4 linked regions of the Arabidopsis thaliana genome follow. The protein of the gene in region 2 interacts with the protein of the main gene of each other region in a pairwise test. Each region holds a gene or a part of one and is shown on either strand. Other genes may lie near its edges. The genes, in order: AT4G10600, FRS5, AT3G19070 and AT2G40260.

The links.
Region 1: the proteins of FRS5 (region 2) and AT4G10600 interact in a two-hybrid assay, tested with the Arabidopsis thaliana proteins (one large-scale study listed by BioGRID).
Region 3: the proteins of FRS5 (region 2) and AT3G19070 interact in a two-hybrid assay, tested with the Arabidopsis thaliana proteins (one large-scale study listed by BioGRID).
Region 4: the proteins of FRS5 (region 2) and AT2G40260 interact in a two-hybrid assay, tested with the Arabidopsis thaliana proteins (one large-scale study listed by BioGRID).

What each region holds. Positions count from the first base shown.
Region 1 is NC_003075.7:6,546,707-6,550,544, forward strand, and holds AT4G10600 (RING/FYVE/PHD zinc finger superfamily protein), read right to left. Parts: upstream 2,173-3,838; 5' UTR 1,942-2,172; coding exon 1,228-1,941; 3' UTR 1,135-1,227; exon of another isoform or gene 963-1,134; intron 860-962; 3' UTR 529-859; downstream 1-528.
Region 2 is NC_003075.7:17,905,992-17,911,469, reverse strand, and holds FRS5 (FAR1-related sequence 5), read left to right. Parts: upstream 1-1,726; 5' UTR 1,727-2,065; coding exon 2,066-4,258; intron 4,259-4,594; coding exon 4,595-4,768; 3' UTR 4,769-4,956; downstream 4,957-5,478. Other genes in the region: CSLD4 (cellulose synthase like D4), read left to right, coding at 64-1,374; FRS9 (FAR1-related sequence 9), read right to left, coding at 5,031-5,198, 5,280-5,478. UniProt on the Arabidopsis thaliana protein: Putative transcription activator involved in regulating light control of development.
Region 3 is NC_003074.8:6,592,072-6,595,491, forward strand, and holds AT3G19070 (Homeodomain-like superfamily protein), read left to right. Parts: upstream 1-1,701; coding exon 1,702-1,870; intron 1,871-1,950; coding exon 1,951-2,694; intron 2,695-2,778; coding exon 2,779-2,906; downstream 2,907-3,420. Other genes in the region: AT3G19055 (uncharacterized protein), read left to right, coding at 245-336, 425-549, 631-703, 820-871.
Region 4 is NC_003071.7:16,816,002-16,820,694, reverse strand, and holds AT2G40260 (Homeodomain-like superfamily protein), read left to right. Parts: upstream 1-1,964; 5' UTR 1,965-2,221; coding exon 2,222-2,540; exon of another isoform or gene 2,541-2,664; coding exon 2,665-2,741; intron 2,742-2,835; coding exon 2,836-2,872; intron 2,873-2,997; coding exon 2,998-3,100; intron 3,101-3,180; coding exon 3,181-3,877; 3' UTR 3,878-4,165; downstream 4,166-4,693.

The sequences.
Region 1 (3,838 bases), about 11 Mb from region 2:
ATAGGGTGCTGAGGAGATAAAGGAGTCGCATGCAACTTCCTTCTCTTTTCAAGACCCGATTTAACTCTAGCATAAACCCAATTGATCATTATCCTCAGGCGAACGAGTTACGGCAACGACGGTGGCTAGGGTTTCCTCGGACTCTCTCTAAGATTTTGACTAAGGAGAAAATTAAGGAGACTACCTATCTATTTATAAGGATATTAATCGGCTAGGGTTTTCTTTTTGTCTAACGAAATTTTAGGTTTACTCTCTCGTTACGGGCTTATATGGATAATTAAGGGCTTTTCTCCAATGAGTTTTAATGGATTTACATGAGTTTCATATAGAATTGAGACTTTTCTTTTACTTAGCGATTTGGATCCTACAACAATGGCCACTAAATATGTGCCTACCAAGCGACACAAAACATCAAACATAAACCATGTGGCACTTAAGATTTGAGCTTCTAGCGATTCTTGAAGTAAAGCCATATCAGATGGCTGATGTTAGCTTGCACAGTTGCACTTAAGCATAAAACAGACTCAATGCAATGCAATAACTTTGGCATTTCAAGTTTATTCTTGTTCCATAAAGCACAAAATTCTGCATATACTCCGTAAGTTCCGGAAACAATTTGGAAGTCGCACCAACGCTTTGCAGCCTTTCATATTCAAGAGAAGAGTTTTTTGGAATACAAGTAGGATATCAGGACCCTTTAGTGCACTGCCTTCCAACAAGAGCTTTCTTATCTATTTGAAATCACCTAAAATTGTTCATGGTGAGAATTGTCAGAGAATTCAACTTCATCTATGGAAGGACGGAGGGCGAGGAGAGTCCGCGAAGCCTTCAAGATTTTGAGCGCCTACTAATCCTGAAACTGCGAACCGCTCACATGAATGACTAAGATTGAGTTAATCATCAAGATAAAACAAGCCTTTCTTGCTCCTAATTTGACCTACACAAACTTATAAACCAAGCAATCGAGTTTATCATCAATGGAAAGAATTTACACTTTTTATTGCATATTATGTGGATGTTAAGTATCCTACAACTGTTAGTTGATTGCAAAGACAAATGAAACCATGAACCATTGTGGTTATATCTGAATATAAGGTTAAGAATCTAAACTAGTGACAAAGTTATAAACCTTACCATTCTTGTGTAAGAAATCTATTAAAATAAGAAATGTTGGTTGTGTAACACATAATGCCTCTTCTGTATCCAAATCAAAGCCTTCTTACATCATTATTCTTCCTCTTTATCAGCAACTTTAACCTTCTTCTTTACCCCATCTTCAAAACCACCCACCGACTCGTTTCTCCTCTTATATATACTCAAAGGATCACAAAGCAAGCTCTTCTCTTTCTCTACATCACTCTCAATTTCTCTAGAACCACAATTCCTAGCATTGTCTCCCTTACCATCCACACCGTTTTCTTTCGACATAGACAACAAAACACCAGCAAGATTACTATCATCTTCATCCCCAACAACATCACACACATTCTCCTTCTCATCCCAACAAGGAAACTCCCTACACTGAAACCTAAACTTCTTAGGCACATAACCACTACACTTCCATAACTGCCGACTAAAAACCGAAGAAACACATTCAAACAAACCCAAATCACCACCAGGAACTCCTTGTACATGAACCCTTTCTTCAATTGGTATCTCTGAACAAGCCTTCAATACAACACTCTCACTACTCTGCGTACATAAATTCTCCATTCTCAACGATTTAGTAACCGATAACTTGGACAATTCATCTTCATTGTTTTTTATCTTACACTTGTGGCAAACAAACAAATCATCACCTTTAACATAACGAGAACACCATGTATGAACCCAAACACCACATTCATCACAATCAACCATCTCTTTACCATCATCAAAATTCACACCACAAACACAATCTACTGTCCATGATTCATAAACCCAATCTTCGTGTGGCTTCATCTCAAATTTACCCCCAAAAAAAAAACTCTAAATTTCTCTGATTCTTTCACAAATTAACCCAGAAATCTCCCTGAATATCGAAGCTTTGTCAAACCCAATTCGTTTCTTCTGAACGACGATTGTAATGTTACGCGAAATAGCTTTGCGATTCTTGATAGAAAAAAAGCTATCTTGACGTAAATCTATGGTTCTCGCTTCCCATTTCTGAACGAAGAAGACGAAGATAGGAACCATAATTACTAAAATATGGGCCGGTATGGGCCGGGATGGGCCGGGATGGGCCGGGATGGGCCGGGATGGGCCGGGCTTAGAGGATAGGTACTGTTTTTTTTTTGTGGACGGACCAAACGATTTCATTTAAAAACCAAAAGCAGATAAAAAACAGAATGGTCAAGCTCAAAGAGGAATACAAGCGGAAATTAACGGTCAAATAACTAAATCATAATGAAGTTAGCAAAAATATTTGCACGTATAATTTAGCCTAAAGACACGTGTAGAAGATGTGTTCTTCTGAAAACCACTCGTCACGTCGTAGTACCAAAATCTTCTGGGTCGATCATATGAAACCGCTTCAAAAAGATTTCGAAAACCGCTAACTTCGGGGAAGCTATATCACTGACTACACCCAATTTGATGTAGTCTAGGATCAATCTTTCTATGTACCTTGAATAAAAACAGAATGACGAAGATATTACTTCTTGAGCAATTAGGGAAACAAAAAGAATTTGGAAGACATACAGAAAAATCGAAGGAAAGATATTGGAATAGAGATATTGGAAGTTGAAGTTTTGATTTTTAGGTTTTTTTCTTTGATCGTTTTTATGCTAATTTTGTGTTTGTTAAAGCTGAAACTTCAATGAGATGGCTTTGATTTATGATTTTTATTTGGGAATTTTAGTTTGTAGATTTATGTTTTGTATGATCATTGAATCTTTGAATAACCCATGCACTAGTAAGATGTTATATTATAATATATGGATACTAGACTTGAATTGTTCTAATTAGTAGGAAGAGAACTATTGTTGATAAAATAACATGTACAACTAGTGTACCTGTTAGACTATCTACATTAGTTACATGGTTACAATGTCCACTTTTCTCTTTTCAACACTCCACATTATAATTCAATACCTACATAATTTTTACTTACTACAATAGTTTTGTTTAATAAAATTACAACACATTACCCTACCATTATTTTATATTTTTTATTTTAATTATGTTTATGTTTTTTGTGATTAATTAATTACAATTAATATCAAATAAAATTAAAATAAGTAAAAATTAAATATTTTAAAATATGAAGGATAGTTTGGAACAGTTGACGATATAAAGAAATTTGGTGGATAACCATAATTTGTTATATTATGTTGATGGTTAGGAGATTGATGTTGGGTAGTTAAAAAGGTAATTAGAAAAATTTTGGGAGTTAAAATGATATTATTATGATCTATTTCACTAAAAAGACGGATAAAAAATAAACAAGAGTTTATGAAGGATGATAGCAAAAGTTTAATTTAAAAAGATGGGGTTTTTGTGTCCAAATTAATTAAAACAAGTCTTTATTTTTGCTATAAGCCTTCATAAATTGGGGATTGTTAGGAGATTGATTTTGAAACTGATAATTGTTCAGATTTTGGTAGTTAAAAAAGTAGTTAGAAGAAGTTTGACATTCCTTAAATGTAGTGATATTGAAATTTTTTGACATTCCTTTAATGGATCAATGCATTCTGTTCCTATCCTTTCTTATATGGATTGAGACTAAAAATTCTTTGAACTACCACCGCTCAACTTTATCATGATAATTATAAGTCAACTCAAGTATTTATAGATTATCAAAGTCTTAATCCGAACTCGATAGGACCAAACTGAAACCAAACCAGTTATTTTATTTTTA
Region 2 (5,478 bases):
GACAGATATATATATAAAGATCCTTTACCAAAAAATAAATGATTCTCTGTTTTTCTTTTCCAGGGACCAGTTTATGTTGGAACAGGTACTATGTTTAGGCGCTTTGCTCTCTATGGTTTTGATCCACCCAACCCTGACAAGCTTCTTGAGAAGAAGGAATCAGAAACAGAGGCTCTAACCACCAGTGACTTTGACCCGGACCTTGATGTCACACAACTCCCCAAGCGCTTTGGGAACTCCACACTCCTAGCTGAGTCAATTCCAATTGCAGAGTTCCAAGGTCGTCCATTGGCAGACCACCCGGCTGTCAAGTACGGTCGTCCTCCCGGAGCCCTTAGAGTCCCTCGTGACCCACTTGATGCTACCACTGTCGCAGAGTCTGTTTCTGTAATCTCTTGTTGGTATGAGGATAAAACGGAGTGGGGAGATAGAGTTGGATGGATTTATGGGTCGGTGACAGAGGACGTGGTCACAGGATACCGCATGCATAATCGTGGGTGGCGCTCGGTTTACTGCATAACTAAGCGAGATTCTTTTCGAGGCTCTGCACCCATTAATCTCACGGATCGTCTTCACCAGGTGTTGCGGTGGGCCACTGGGTCTGTTGAGATCTTCTTCTCTAGAAACAACGCCATTCTCGCCTCCAAACGTCTCAAGTTCCTCCAACGTCTCGCATACCTCAATGTTGGGATATACCCTTTCACGTCTCTGTTTCTCATCCTCTATTGTTTTCTTCCGGCATTCTCTCTTTTCTCTGGACAGTTCATCGTGCGGACGCTCAGTATCTCCTTCTTGGTCTACCTTCTTATGATCACCATTTGTTTGATTGGATTGGCGGTTTTGGAGGTCAAGTGGTCTGGCATTGGGCTGGAAGAATGGTGGAGAAACGAACAGTGGTGGCTCATCTCAGGAACAAGCTCTCACCTTTACGCAGTGGTCCAAGGAGTCCTCAAAGTGATTGCAGGGATCGAGATCTCCTTTACCTTGACGACCAAGTCAGGGGGAGATGACAATGAAGACATATACGCGGATTTGTACATAGTGAAATGGTCGTCGCTGATGATACCGCCTATAGTGATAGCAATGGTGAACATAATAGCGATTGTGGTGGCGTTCATCAGGACAATATACCAAGCGGTGCCACAATGGAGCAAGCTAATCGGAGGAGCATTTTTCAGCTTCTGGGTGTTGGCGCATTTGTATCCATTTGCAAAAGGATTGATGGGACGAAGAGGCAAAACTCCAACCATAGTTTTTGTGTGGGCAGGTCTCATTGCCATCACCATCTCTCTACTGTGGACGGCCATAAACCCAAACACCGGACCTGCAGCTGCTGCAGAGGGTGTTGGAGGCGGTGGTTTTCAATTCCCGTAATTAAAAAAGCATTCATATAGGCGACTTGAGAGTTTTGTAGACTAATCACAAGAAATTAATACGTATACTATCTTTGTTTCTTTTTGTTTTTGTTTTTGTTCCTGGTAGTAAATTTTCAGATAACTACATGTATATCTGGATTGAGATGTCATGACTGTATAAATCAGCCTTTGTATCAATCATTTCGTCTTTAAAAGTCAATTTTTCCTCTCCTCCACTCGCAACTGATAGTGAACCATACGGTAAGCGTAAAAGAGGATGGGCCTTATAAAGTAAATGAAGAGGGAGTGGGCCTTATAAAATTATAAATGAAGAAGGAATGGGCCTTATAAAATAAATGAAGAAGGAATGGGCCTTGCTTAAATTAAAAAAAGAGAATTAGAAGCACCGTCTGTCTTCCTCCTCCGTGCCCTCCGACGACTCTATTCCCAGTCTCCCTCCTCCGTCGTCTCTCATCTTCCTTTTCATTCTTCGGTTATTATAACGTAATCAATTACAAGTTCCCTTATCTCTTCTTTTCTGGTTTCTCCCGCGCACGAACGCGCATTCCCTCGTCTTCGCTGCCTCCCAATCTCAATCTCAGACTTGAAATCAAATCACGACTGTAAGTGGTTCTATCTACAGTAGCTAGCTATTTCATCCTGTTGTGGACAATAGATAGATAGAATTCATCCCTGAAGACAAGGAGGATATGATGGATAATGAAGTGCTCGACTTCGATATTGGTGTAGGAGTTAGTAGTGGCGGAGATGTTGATGACGACGCTATTGATATTGAGCACCATGCTCTCGACGACGATGATATGCTCGACAGCCCAATTATGCCTTGCGGTAATGGTCTTGTTGGCAATTCTGGAAATTACTTTCCCAACCAGGAGGAGGAGGCTTGTGATCTCCTGGATCTCGAGCCCTATGATGGTCTTGAATTCGAGTCCGAAGAAGCTGCCAAGGCATTCTACAACTCGTATGCCCGTCGCATTGGCTTTAGTACCCGTGTCAGTTCCTCCCGCCGCTCCCGCCGTGATGGAGCTATCATCCAGAGGCAATTTGTCTGTGCCAAAGAAGGTTTCAGAAATATGAATGAAAAGCGCACCAAGGACAGGGAGATCAAGCGTCCCAGGACCATCACTCGAGTCGGTTGCAAAGCCTCCCTCTCTGTTAAGATGCAGGATTCCGGTAAATGGCTTGTCTCTGGCTTTGTCAAAGACCACAACCATGAGCTTGTTCCTCCCGACCAAGTTCACTGTCTGCGTTCCCACAGGCAAATCTCTGGCCCTGCCAAGACTTTGATTGACACACTTCAAGCTGCAGGAATGGGTCCCCGCAGAATCATGTCCGCCCTCATCAAAGAGTATGGTGGCATCAGCAAGGTTGGTTTCACCGAAGTGGACTGTAGGAATTATATGAGGAACAACCGCCAGAAGAGCATAGAAGGAGAGATTCAGCTTCTTCTTGACTACTTGAGGCAGATGAATGCTGACAACCCAAACTTCTTTTATTCTGTTCAGGGAAGCGAAGATCAGTCTGTTGGTAATGTCTTCTGGGCTGATCCTAAAGCTATAATGGATTTCACTCACTTTGGAGACACCGTTACATTTGATACAACCTACAGGTCCAACAGGTACCGTTTGCCTTTCGCACCCTTCACTGGTGTAAATCACCATGGCCAACCCATTCTTTTCGGCTGTGCCTTTATCATCAATGAAACTGAGGCTTCATTTGTATGGCTTTTCAATACGTGGCTAGCCGCAATGTCCGCCCACCCTCCTGTCTCAATCACCACCGATCATGATGCTGTTATACGTGCAGCCATCATGCACGTTTTTCCTGGTGCCCGCCATCGCTTTTGCAAATGGCATATTTTAAAGAAATGTCAGGAGAAGCTGTCGCATGTCTTCCTCAAGCATCCTTCGTTTGAGTCAGATTTCCACAAATGTGTCAATCTGACAGAGTCGGTTGAGGATTTTGAGAGATGCTGGTTTTCACTTCTTGACAAGTATGAGCTAAGAGATCATGAGTGGCTACAAGCAATATACTCCGATCGCCGGCAGTGGGTCCCAGTATATCTCCGTGATACCTTTTTTGCCGACATGTCCTTAACTCATCGTAGTGATAGTATCAATTCATATTTTGATGGTTATATAAACGCTTCAACCAATCTAAGCCAGTTCTTTAAGCTGTATGAAAAAGCTTTGGAGAGTCGTCTCGAGAAAGAAGTTAAAGCAGATTATGACACAATGAACTCACCTCCTGTTCTGAAGACTCCATCTCCAATGGAGAAGCAGGCGTCTGAACTTTACACAAGGAAGTTGTTTATGAGATTTCAGGAAGAACTAGTTGGAACCCTGACTTTCATGGCATCCAAAGCTGACGATGATGGGGATCTTGTTACCTACCAGGTTGCGAAATATGGAGAGGCTCACAAGGCTCATTTCGTTAAGTTCAACGTTTTGGAGATGAGAGCAAATTGCAGTTGCCAGATGTTTGAGTTCTCTGGCATCATTTGCAGACATATATTGGCAGTCTTCCGGGTCACCAATCTCCTTACACTTCCACCTTACTACATCCTAAAAAGATGGACCAGAAATGCCAAAAGCAGTGTTATATTTGATGATTATAATTTGCATGCGTATGCTAATTACCTGGAGTCTCATACCGTCCGATACAACACCTTACGTCACAAAGCTTCTAATTTTGTGCAAGAAGCTGGAAAATCTCTGTATACTTGTGATGTCGCAGTTGTTGCTCTGCAAGAAGCTGCCAAGACTGTGTCCCTGGCAATGAATAAGGAAGTTAGAAGAACTATGGCGAACAGGCATTTTAAAGCGAGTTCTGTAACTGGTGGAAAACATCAGCAAGAAGTGCTGGCGCAACCTGAGCCCGAGGTGAGGATCATTTTCTTTTCGATACTTGTTTTCTTTTTGATATAATAGCAATCAAATTTGTTGCTCTAAAAAATAGTTATATACGTTTGAAGTATCGTTTGTGCGGGTTTGCCCCATACAATACAATCATTGCTTTGTCTCCTTGACGGTACCATAATGCTGATTGCTCTGTTAACGTTTGACTAATGAGCTCGTGATTCACATATGCATGTTAAGAGTATGGTCTTCATTTTGCCATTGTGAGCCTTTGTTCCGTACAATCTGCAAGGTCCTCAATTTTGCTATGTGCTTTTACTGCTGACTAATTGCATGACCGTATTTCCTCTACTTTCGCAGGACGAAATGGACAAGAAGATTAATCAGCTCAGAAACGAGCTGGAATTAGCAAACAGGAAATGCGAAGCTTACAGGACTAACCTACTTTCAGTTTTGAAAGAAATGGAAGACCAAAAGTTACAAGTGTCCATCAAAGTGCAGAACATCAAAATTAGCTTGAAGGATAATCTGTGAAACAAGCAACAAATTCCGACTGCTATTCTCATCTATAACATATTGCTCATGTACTATATCTCTTATAGGGTTTTTGAAAGAGGGACCCAATTTTCAGGATTTCCCTGTTCTTACAGTAGGTAGCCTTTGTAATAGATTGTACTCCCAATCATTTCCTTACTGAGTAAGAGCATGAAGTTGATTCCCATAAATGTTTGCATACCAAGTTACCAACCACAGTACGTGAGTTGAATTGTGATGTTATGTATCCAGCAGATTGCACTCACTCTTTCAAGCTTAGTCTAGCATTTTGTACCTTGAGGGATAGCTGAAACTTCTGTTCTTCCATATCTCTCAAAATAGACAGCAGGTTTGCTCGATAAACTTCACATCGCTGGCCTGTCCTCTCCAACTCAGCTGTCAGTTCAAGTATCGTCCTCTCTTTTTCACCCTGGCATTGAAGTAAGTACTTATTCCCAAGGAACAGAGGACATCAATGTTAAAGAATTATCAAATACCAGTATTCGCTTACCCCTGGATGATTCGTTGCATTTGCTGTTTCTCGAGCTTCCTCGGACGGGTAAGCTTCCCCATTGGGAAGCCTAGTTCCAGGTGTTCTGTTACTTGCAGCAGCAACCTTCTTGGCAGCTTCATCCAAAGCATCCATTGCAACTTTATAGATCTGAATAGATTTGGCACCTTCCTCGACATACTTGGTTGCTTCTTGGCGT
Region 3 (3,420 bases), on a different chromosome or scaffold from region 2:
ATATACATTAAATGCTTCTTTAAAATATATAAACTCTGTTTAGAATTTCAGTATTGAAATCTAAATTATAGTTTGTTTAGATTTTACTAAAGATCCTAGTACTCCAATAAATACAATCTTTGTATTTTTAAATAACACTGATATTATTGATCTTATCCCTATCATTAAATTCAACGACAAAAGTAAACTTTGTTGCAAAAGAGAAGAAGACTATAATAGAGAGACGACAGATCTCGTTCTCAAGATGGTGCACTCGCATTACACATTTGAAATCCGACAGGCCCGTTCACATTTATTCTTAATTCGTCATCCTCGTCCAGGATACTTTAAGAAGAGGTAATTTCTAGGTTTTTAATGTGTTTTTTCCACTCTGATTTAAAATCCTTTCTTCTCTCCCAAGCTTCCCTTTGCTTTCAATCCCCAGGAGCTGGAAGGATTGTAATGAGTTCGAGCAAGAAATCTCAAAAATCGAATCATTTCCGGAAATAATATCCAGAATTGATGAATATGTTGCACAACTTAAGGAGGAGGTGGCCTATCTAAAGATAGGTATTTATTCAGAGTATCTATTTGATCATTCTTTCTATTTTATTCTCCTTTTTTATCTTTATGTGTTTCATATTCGTGTAGCCAAGGCGATTGTCGAAGAGAGGGCTAGGATTCGCTCCATAAAAAGAGCGGAGGCGCGTAAGGTTTTAGAAAAGTAAGTTTAACAATTGACGACTTTTTAGAGAAATTTTTAATGATATTGACGACTTAGATGATTAATTATGATCATTATCAACCGTTTAATGATTACTTTTACTTTAATAGTTTAAGGCAAACTCTACTCGGGGAGATGAGGAAGAGGAAGGCTGACGAGGATCTATGAGAACTGATGATCACATAAACTTCATGCTACATGCAATAAACGCGGTTAATTGGGTTTTGTTTTTTCTTCAACATCAACCCGACCTAGCTAGGGTATTATCTATATATATGGGACATCTTATCATCTGATCTGCATGTACCTATTTTTATTATTATAAATGCTTCATATATTAAGAAGAAAAGTTGTAGGCTTGTAGCAACCGATTCATAGTGGAAAATCCTTTTTTTTTTTTTTATGAAAATCAGATCGGCCGCAAAAACAACTTTCACCATGCACGAAGCTAGAAACTGCATTGATGTACCGTGTACGCTGTTTTTAATATAAAATAATTGCAGTTTTATTAGTTAGGCTACAAATATGAAATCAGGAGAAATATACCAATTAATGTACGTCCTAATTGCTTGGTATGTTACATAACCTTAAGTTGTATAATATTTATTAATTTATTTTATACTGGAGTTGATAGCTTTAAAAGTTGAGAGCAAAGTAACTTGAGACCATTTTAGAGTTAGCAAAGTAATGGAGAAAATAAGAAAAATCACACGCATGCAGCATGATGTATAATTATTGGAAACATGTATTTCCAAGAAAGTAATCAGTTCTCTGTACGCCTGAATTCGATTTTCATAAAGCTCACTTCCTTGGATTGCTAGAGCAAACATTTATATTGATATCTGCGTTAACATCATAACATGTGGGTTTTTAGTAATTCTCAACAGTATGGGTATTTTTGCTCTCTCTAGAGAGGGTAAATTTGTGATTCCATCTGCAAATTATTCCTCCTATATATATATAGAACGTGATGAATCAAATTTCTTAAGTTGCAAGCCATGACTAATCTTGATGAGTTTCTTGAAGAGCTAAGTTCTATTGAATCACATTCTCAGAAAATCGTGAAGATAGATGAGCATTTAAAAAAGTTGGATGAAGAGACGAAAGAAGATGAAGATGAAGATGCGGCGAAGATAATTCAAGATCGGAGTACCGCGAGAGAAGCAGGTTAATTTCTTCTCCTTCACCTTGTAATTTAAAGTTGTTCCTCTCTCATTCTCAAATCTTGTTGGGTCTTGGAAACGCAGAAATTGCTCTACTTATGGATCTCCGTCAGAACTTTCTTCCACCACCATCGATGTCATCCTCCTCTCTTCAACCACCGTCATCGTCAACTCTCGCACCATCGTCATCATCCTCTCTTCAACCACCCGCACCGTTGATAGACTTCTTTCGGTCATCAGTGTCATACTCTCATCAACCACCGTCATCTTCAACTCTCGCAACATCATCGTCACCGTCTCTTCAACCACCGTCGATGTCATCCTCCTCTCTTCAACCACCCGCATCTTTGAGGGAATTCTTTACGTCGTCAGTGTCATACTCTCATCAGCCATCTTCATCTTCAACTCTCGCAACATCTTCGTTCTTTCCGTCGTCAATGCCATACTCTGTTCGACCTCCCGATTCGTCTGATCGACCATCTTTGAGGGAATTCTTTCCGTCGTCACCATCATCCTCTATTCAGCCACCCGAATCATCATCATCTAAGCGAGCACGGCTTAGTAACATCTTTCCGTCACCTTTATCCTCCTCTCCGTCACCGTTTGTTAACCCGTTTCTCCGTCCGCAGGCCCAAGAACCAACAATACCAAATTTCATAAACCCAATACCACAGATCTCTCCAGGCCTACCTGCTCTATTCCCAAACCCTAACCCTAATCCTAACCCTAACCCAATCCCAAACCCAATCCGAAACCCAGACTTGGTGTGGACAAATAGGCTTCAACTAGTGTTTGATGACGCAGTTGTCAGACTTGGGGGATTATTCAGTATGCAACTTTATAATTTTTTTATTTATTTTGTTTATTCTTTCAACTCCTAACTATTTTCCTAATTTTTTTTTTTTTTTTCAGGTGCAACACCCAAAGCCATAAACGAACTAATTTCTGAAGAGGGTCTCACTGGTGACCAGATCCGTAGCCACTTACAAGTCTTGCGGGATCGTCAAAAGGCTATTGCAGACAAATTAGCCTTGGAGTGAAGAAAATATTGAAGATGAGAGATAGGATTAAATAGAAAGAGTGATAGTATAGAACGTTTCTTTTTCTTTTGTTGTTAATCTTGCATATTACAAACAATTACTATATCATAATAGAATTTATGTTAATGTTGGAGTTATTAAAAAAAAAAAAGTTAACCATAATAACATTCTTACTGTACGCATGAGTGATCATTTATCACAATCTATTAGAGCAACCCCAATGGGTGGGATGATGACAGTCCCTAAAAAACCAAAAAATAATAATATTTTAATTTTTTAACATAGTTTGACAACTAAAAAACCTACACATGTACATTTAATCTTCAGGTCCCTTATATAAGGGTTTTTGGAGCCCTTCTCTCCTGTGTCCCTTCCATTTTAATTATTTTTTTTTTTTTTATATTGTAAGGGACCTTAAGAGAGACCACCATTGCTGGTGCAGGCTGTAGAAAAATTTGTTTAGCTTCTCCTTCTTTTCTTAATTTTGACAGATAAGTCTCAGCCTCTCTCCCCC
Region 4 (4,693 bases), on a different chromosome or scaffold from region 2:
GTGTACACTGCGTATATAGTTTCTACAATCTCAGATCTTCAGTTCAAACCCTATATTATAAAAAAGTTATAGCCTTATAGGTACCGAAATTTTAAAAGTTGAGAGACATAAAACACGAAGACTTTGGTCCACGCTTAGAATTTGATTGGTTCATTTCATATATGTGTCAAGGAAAATGAATTAGCATAGTGTCGTGGTCAATTTCAACGGATTATATAACTTAGTAAATCAATACCGTAGTTAATATACCCTTTTTTTGTCAATACCGTGATTGATATTAATACTTAGCATTTGGTATCTGTTGGGTCGTATAATTGATCATGGGTTGTCTGAGCATGGAAGTAGGATTATAGGGTAGATATGAAGAACGTCATTCTAACGTAAATTATTATTGCTACACTTTTAAAACCAAAATATACGACAGCTTTAATTCTTCCTACCAATTAATAACGACGACGAAAATATACGATTACGGCTGGACATTGGGCTTCCAAAAACGATTTTGAAAAAAAAAAAAAAAACAGAAAGAAATGTCATATACCTAATTTATTTGACCGATGACTTTCACATTATCTGGTCACCATTCACAAAATTTGACACAGTACTTGCATGTCGCTTACAAGAAAAATTAGCCTGCTGATGTTAGAGGAATACAGATAGATACAATTCTGCCTTGACCCTCTCCTGGAGGCGCAAAGTTCATGACAATAAGTAAATCATATATTATACATTTTAATTTTCTCCTTTCTAAGTTCTTAAAAAAGTATGACATCCCCTACTTTGCCTACTTCCTTAATTTCACAAAAATAAAAGTATGACATACTTAATTAGAACATATCTTTTGTTTAGTATTTTACTAGTAATTTTAATAGTACGTACGCTATATAGAACGAACTAATCACCCCTGAACTGAATTCCAAACTAAATCAATTGGTTGCATGTGTGTACGTACAGAAACTCATATAATTCTCAAGTTCAATTCTGTGATAATCATGTGACTTATTAGCTTCAGTTGTTATATTCTGTATCCTAATTTATTTATTTATTTTTTAACATTTATTTGGGTTATATATAGAAAAAGAGATGTACTATTTGCATGTATATAGAGAGAGGCGCATGTGTAGATAATTATAGATAATATGAAATCGTAAGAGTAGTGGAGATGGAGACAAACCCGTGATTGTCGTTGGTGACAGAAACAAGTAGTAATATTTTCTTCTCGTGTCTTTCAGTGAAGACAGCCCAGCCAAGCACCTTTTAACTTCTGTCTGATTCCTCTCTCTATGCTCTTTCTCTGTCTATCTATCTAATTATGCTTTTGGGTTTCTTCTTTTTCTGGTTTCACAGCTTTGGCTTTGAAGTCACGAGCCCATCCCCCTAACCATCCCCTTTTATGCTTTGCTTTTCTAGTCAATTTAATTCATGAGTTGTAACGATGGAAGAAGTTTCATTTATCTAATTAATGTGTATGCCTCATTAATGTTGCCTTCTTCCTATATTGCTAAAAGCTAGTTCGAATGAAACAAAAACACGTACCAAATCCAATGAAAAACATAGATCTTCAGTTGGTTTTGAAAGAAAGAACAAAAAAAATTGTTAATGTACATGTCATATTGAACCCTGATTTATGTCATAAAATTGGTATACGTACGGGTTGATATCATGAAAACGTTTGATCTTTTACCATGAAAATGATCATTATTTAGATAAATTCAATCTACTCCTTGGAATTTCTTTTCACTCCCTATCACAACGAGATTCAAAGATTAATTGTACTAATTGACTTAATAGTTATTAACTCATTTTAAAATACATCTTATGACTGAAGTTACTAATGTTTAATGAAATTAAAAGTACCATTTTTGTCATGAGGTGTAATTCTAGATCTATCTTTCCCTAAGATGTATATAACTGTAGAAAAAACCATTGGTGTAATAAAAAGCTATATATTAAATAGAATTTAGAATATCCGTTGCCATCATATACATATTTCAACATATATGTTGAGTTGGAGAGAGAGGGGGAGAAAAAGGAATGATGGATACAAGCATCCAAAAAGTCATACACATAGACCATCAAAAGTCTTCACCTTAAATTCCTAACACATATGTATGAGTGTGTGATCTTTGTTTGATCTTTGTCCAGAGAACTCCAAGATAGACCAAAAAGGTTCAACCTCAAAACAAACAACACAAAAACAGCCAAATAGCTAGAGACCAAGATGAGATCAAGCAGCCAAAATTCTGAAAACTCCAAGACTTGTCTATCTAACAACATCAAAGCAACCACCAAGAATGAAGAAGATAAAGATGAAGAGGATGATGAAGAAGGCGAAGAGGATGAAGAAGAGAGATCTGGAGATCAGAGCCCATCTAGCAATAGCTATGAGGAAGAGAGTGGGAGTCACCACCATGATCAGAACAAGAAGAATGGAGGATCCGTGAGGCCGTACAACCGCTCAAAGACTCCGAGGCTGCGATGGACGCCGGAGCTCCATATTTGCTTTCTTCAAGCTGTGGAGAGATTGGGTGGCCCAGATAGTTGAGTTTCAATTATATATATGAATCAATATCAAGATCATTGCATATGTGAAGATCTCTAAATTTCTAGGGTTTTCTTGTTGATATTTATTTGGGGTCTCTTTCAATGATTTTGTTGAAACAGGAGCAACACCGAAGCTTGTTCTCCAATTGATGAACGTCAAGGGGCTAAGTATTGCCCATGTTAAGAGTCATCTTCAGGTTTTGCAAATATCCACATACACATAGAGTATATATCTATATACATCATTGAGATCTTCATCTGAAATCATACTTCATTTTTTTTTCTTCTTAGATGTACAGAAGCAAGAAGACCGATGAGCCTAATGAAGGTAGTTTACTTAGCTTTCTTCTACCTTCTGATTTAAGTTAGGGCTTCTATAAATCTTATAATTGAATTCGACGAGAAATTGACTAATTCTTGTCTCTCGTGTTTTATCTTTTCTTATAACTACAGGAGATCAAGGATTTTCGTTTGAACACGGAGCTGGTTACACTTACAACCTTAGCCAACTTCCAATGCTACAAAGTTTTGATCAAAGGCCTTCTTCTAGTTTAGGGTATTTACAAACTCTTCAGCTAGCTATCTTTAAACTATAAGTTAAAATTACGTGTGTGTAACTTGGAATGTATTCAATAGATATGGTGGTGGTTCGTGGACTGACCACAGACGACAGATCTACCGTAGCCCTTGGAGAGGATTAACGACACGAGAAAATACAAGAACAAGACAAACAATGTTTAGCTCACAGCCTGGTGAGAGATATCACGGAGTTAGCAATAGTATTCTTAACGATAAGAACAAAACTATTTCATTTCGAATCAATTCTCATGAAGGGGTTCATGATAACAATGGAGTAGCTGGAGCTGTTCCAAGAATTCATAGAAGTTTTCTTGAAGGTATGAAAACGTTTAACAAATCATGGGGACAGAGCCTCTCTTCCAATCTTAAGTCCTCCACCGCAACAATACCACAAGATCATATTGCTACAACGCTAAATTCTTATCAATGGGAGAATGCTGGAGTGGCAGAAGGATCAGAGAATGTTTTGAAGAGGAAGAGGTTATTATTTTCTGATGACTGCAATAAGTCAGACCAAGATTTGGATCTAAGCTTGTCCCTTAAGGTACCTCGGACACACGACAATCTTGGAGAATGCTTGTTAGAAGATGAAGTAAAAGAACATGATGATCATCAAGATATCAAGAGTTTGTCTCTTTCGTTATCATCTTCAGGTTCATCAAAACTCGACCGAACCATTAGGAAAGAAGATCAAACTGATCACAAAAAGAGAAAGATTTCGGTCTTGGCAAGTCCCCTTGATCTCACTCTGTGAATATGTATAACAACTTATATACGTATATTCTAAGTGAGATCTTGTGGTACTTGTTGATGGAAGACGGTTCTGTATTGTTGTTTATCATTCGTTGCATACTTGTGACAAGACCCATAATTAAGGAAATAATAGAGACATTTTTTAATGTTTTTTATTAAAAAAAAATTCACATAATTTTGTCGAGATCGTTAAATGCATATTTTAAAATATATATGATTTGTGATCGAGTTGGGAGCAGAAATTTGTTTTCTTCTAAATAGTATAGTAACCAAGAAATACATTAGTGAGAGTCTATATATATGGTTTTGAGAGTTACAAGACATTGCACGTTGTCTATAAGCTTGTCTAGACGTTGCAATGTATATGTAGTTTACTCTCACATAACAAGTATCCTAAGCAATATTTTTGTTTTAACATGGAGATATTGTCTGAAAATTTATACGTTAACGTCAAATCAGTGAATACAAGAAAAGAAGATGAAGACTTCCGAGTCATAGCTTTCTGAGCTATAGCATTATTATTTTTATAAAGACGAGTTTTTGCCTTCTTCAAAATCGTTTTATAAATTATTCTATGTTTTAGATTTGTAGTTGAAATTATATGAAAGGTCCGTTAATTTAAAAATCAGGTCTGCTGAATGTTTTGTTTGTATTAAAAAAACAAAAAAAAAAAAACAAATCGGTTCTGATAACCAACCAAAGTTTATTTTAATTTAGTTGCGAGGTTAATTAAGAAAAAAAGAAGACACTTTCTTTAAGAGAAAATTGGAGAGAACGACAAGAAGACAGATGTACTTGACATAGAGATATGTCTTGA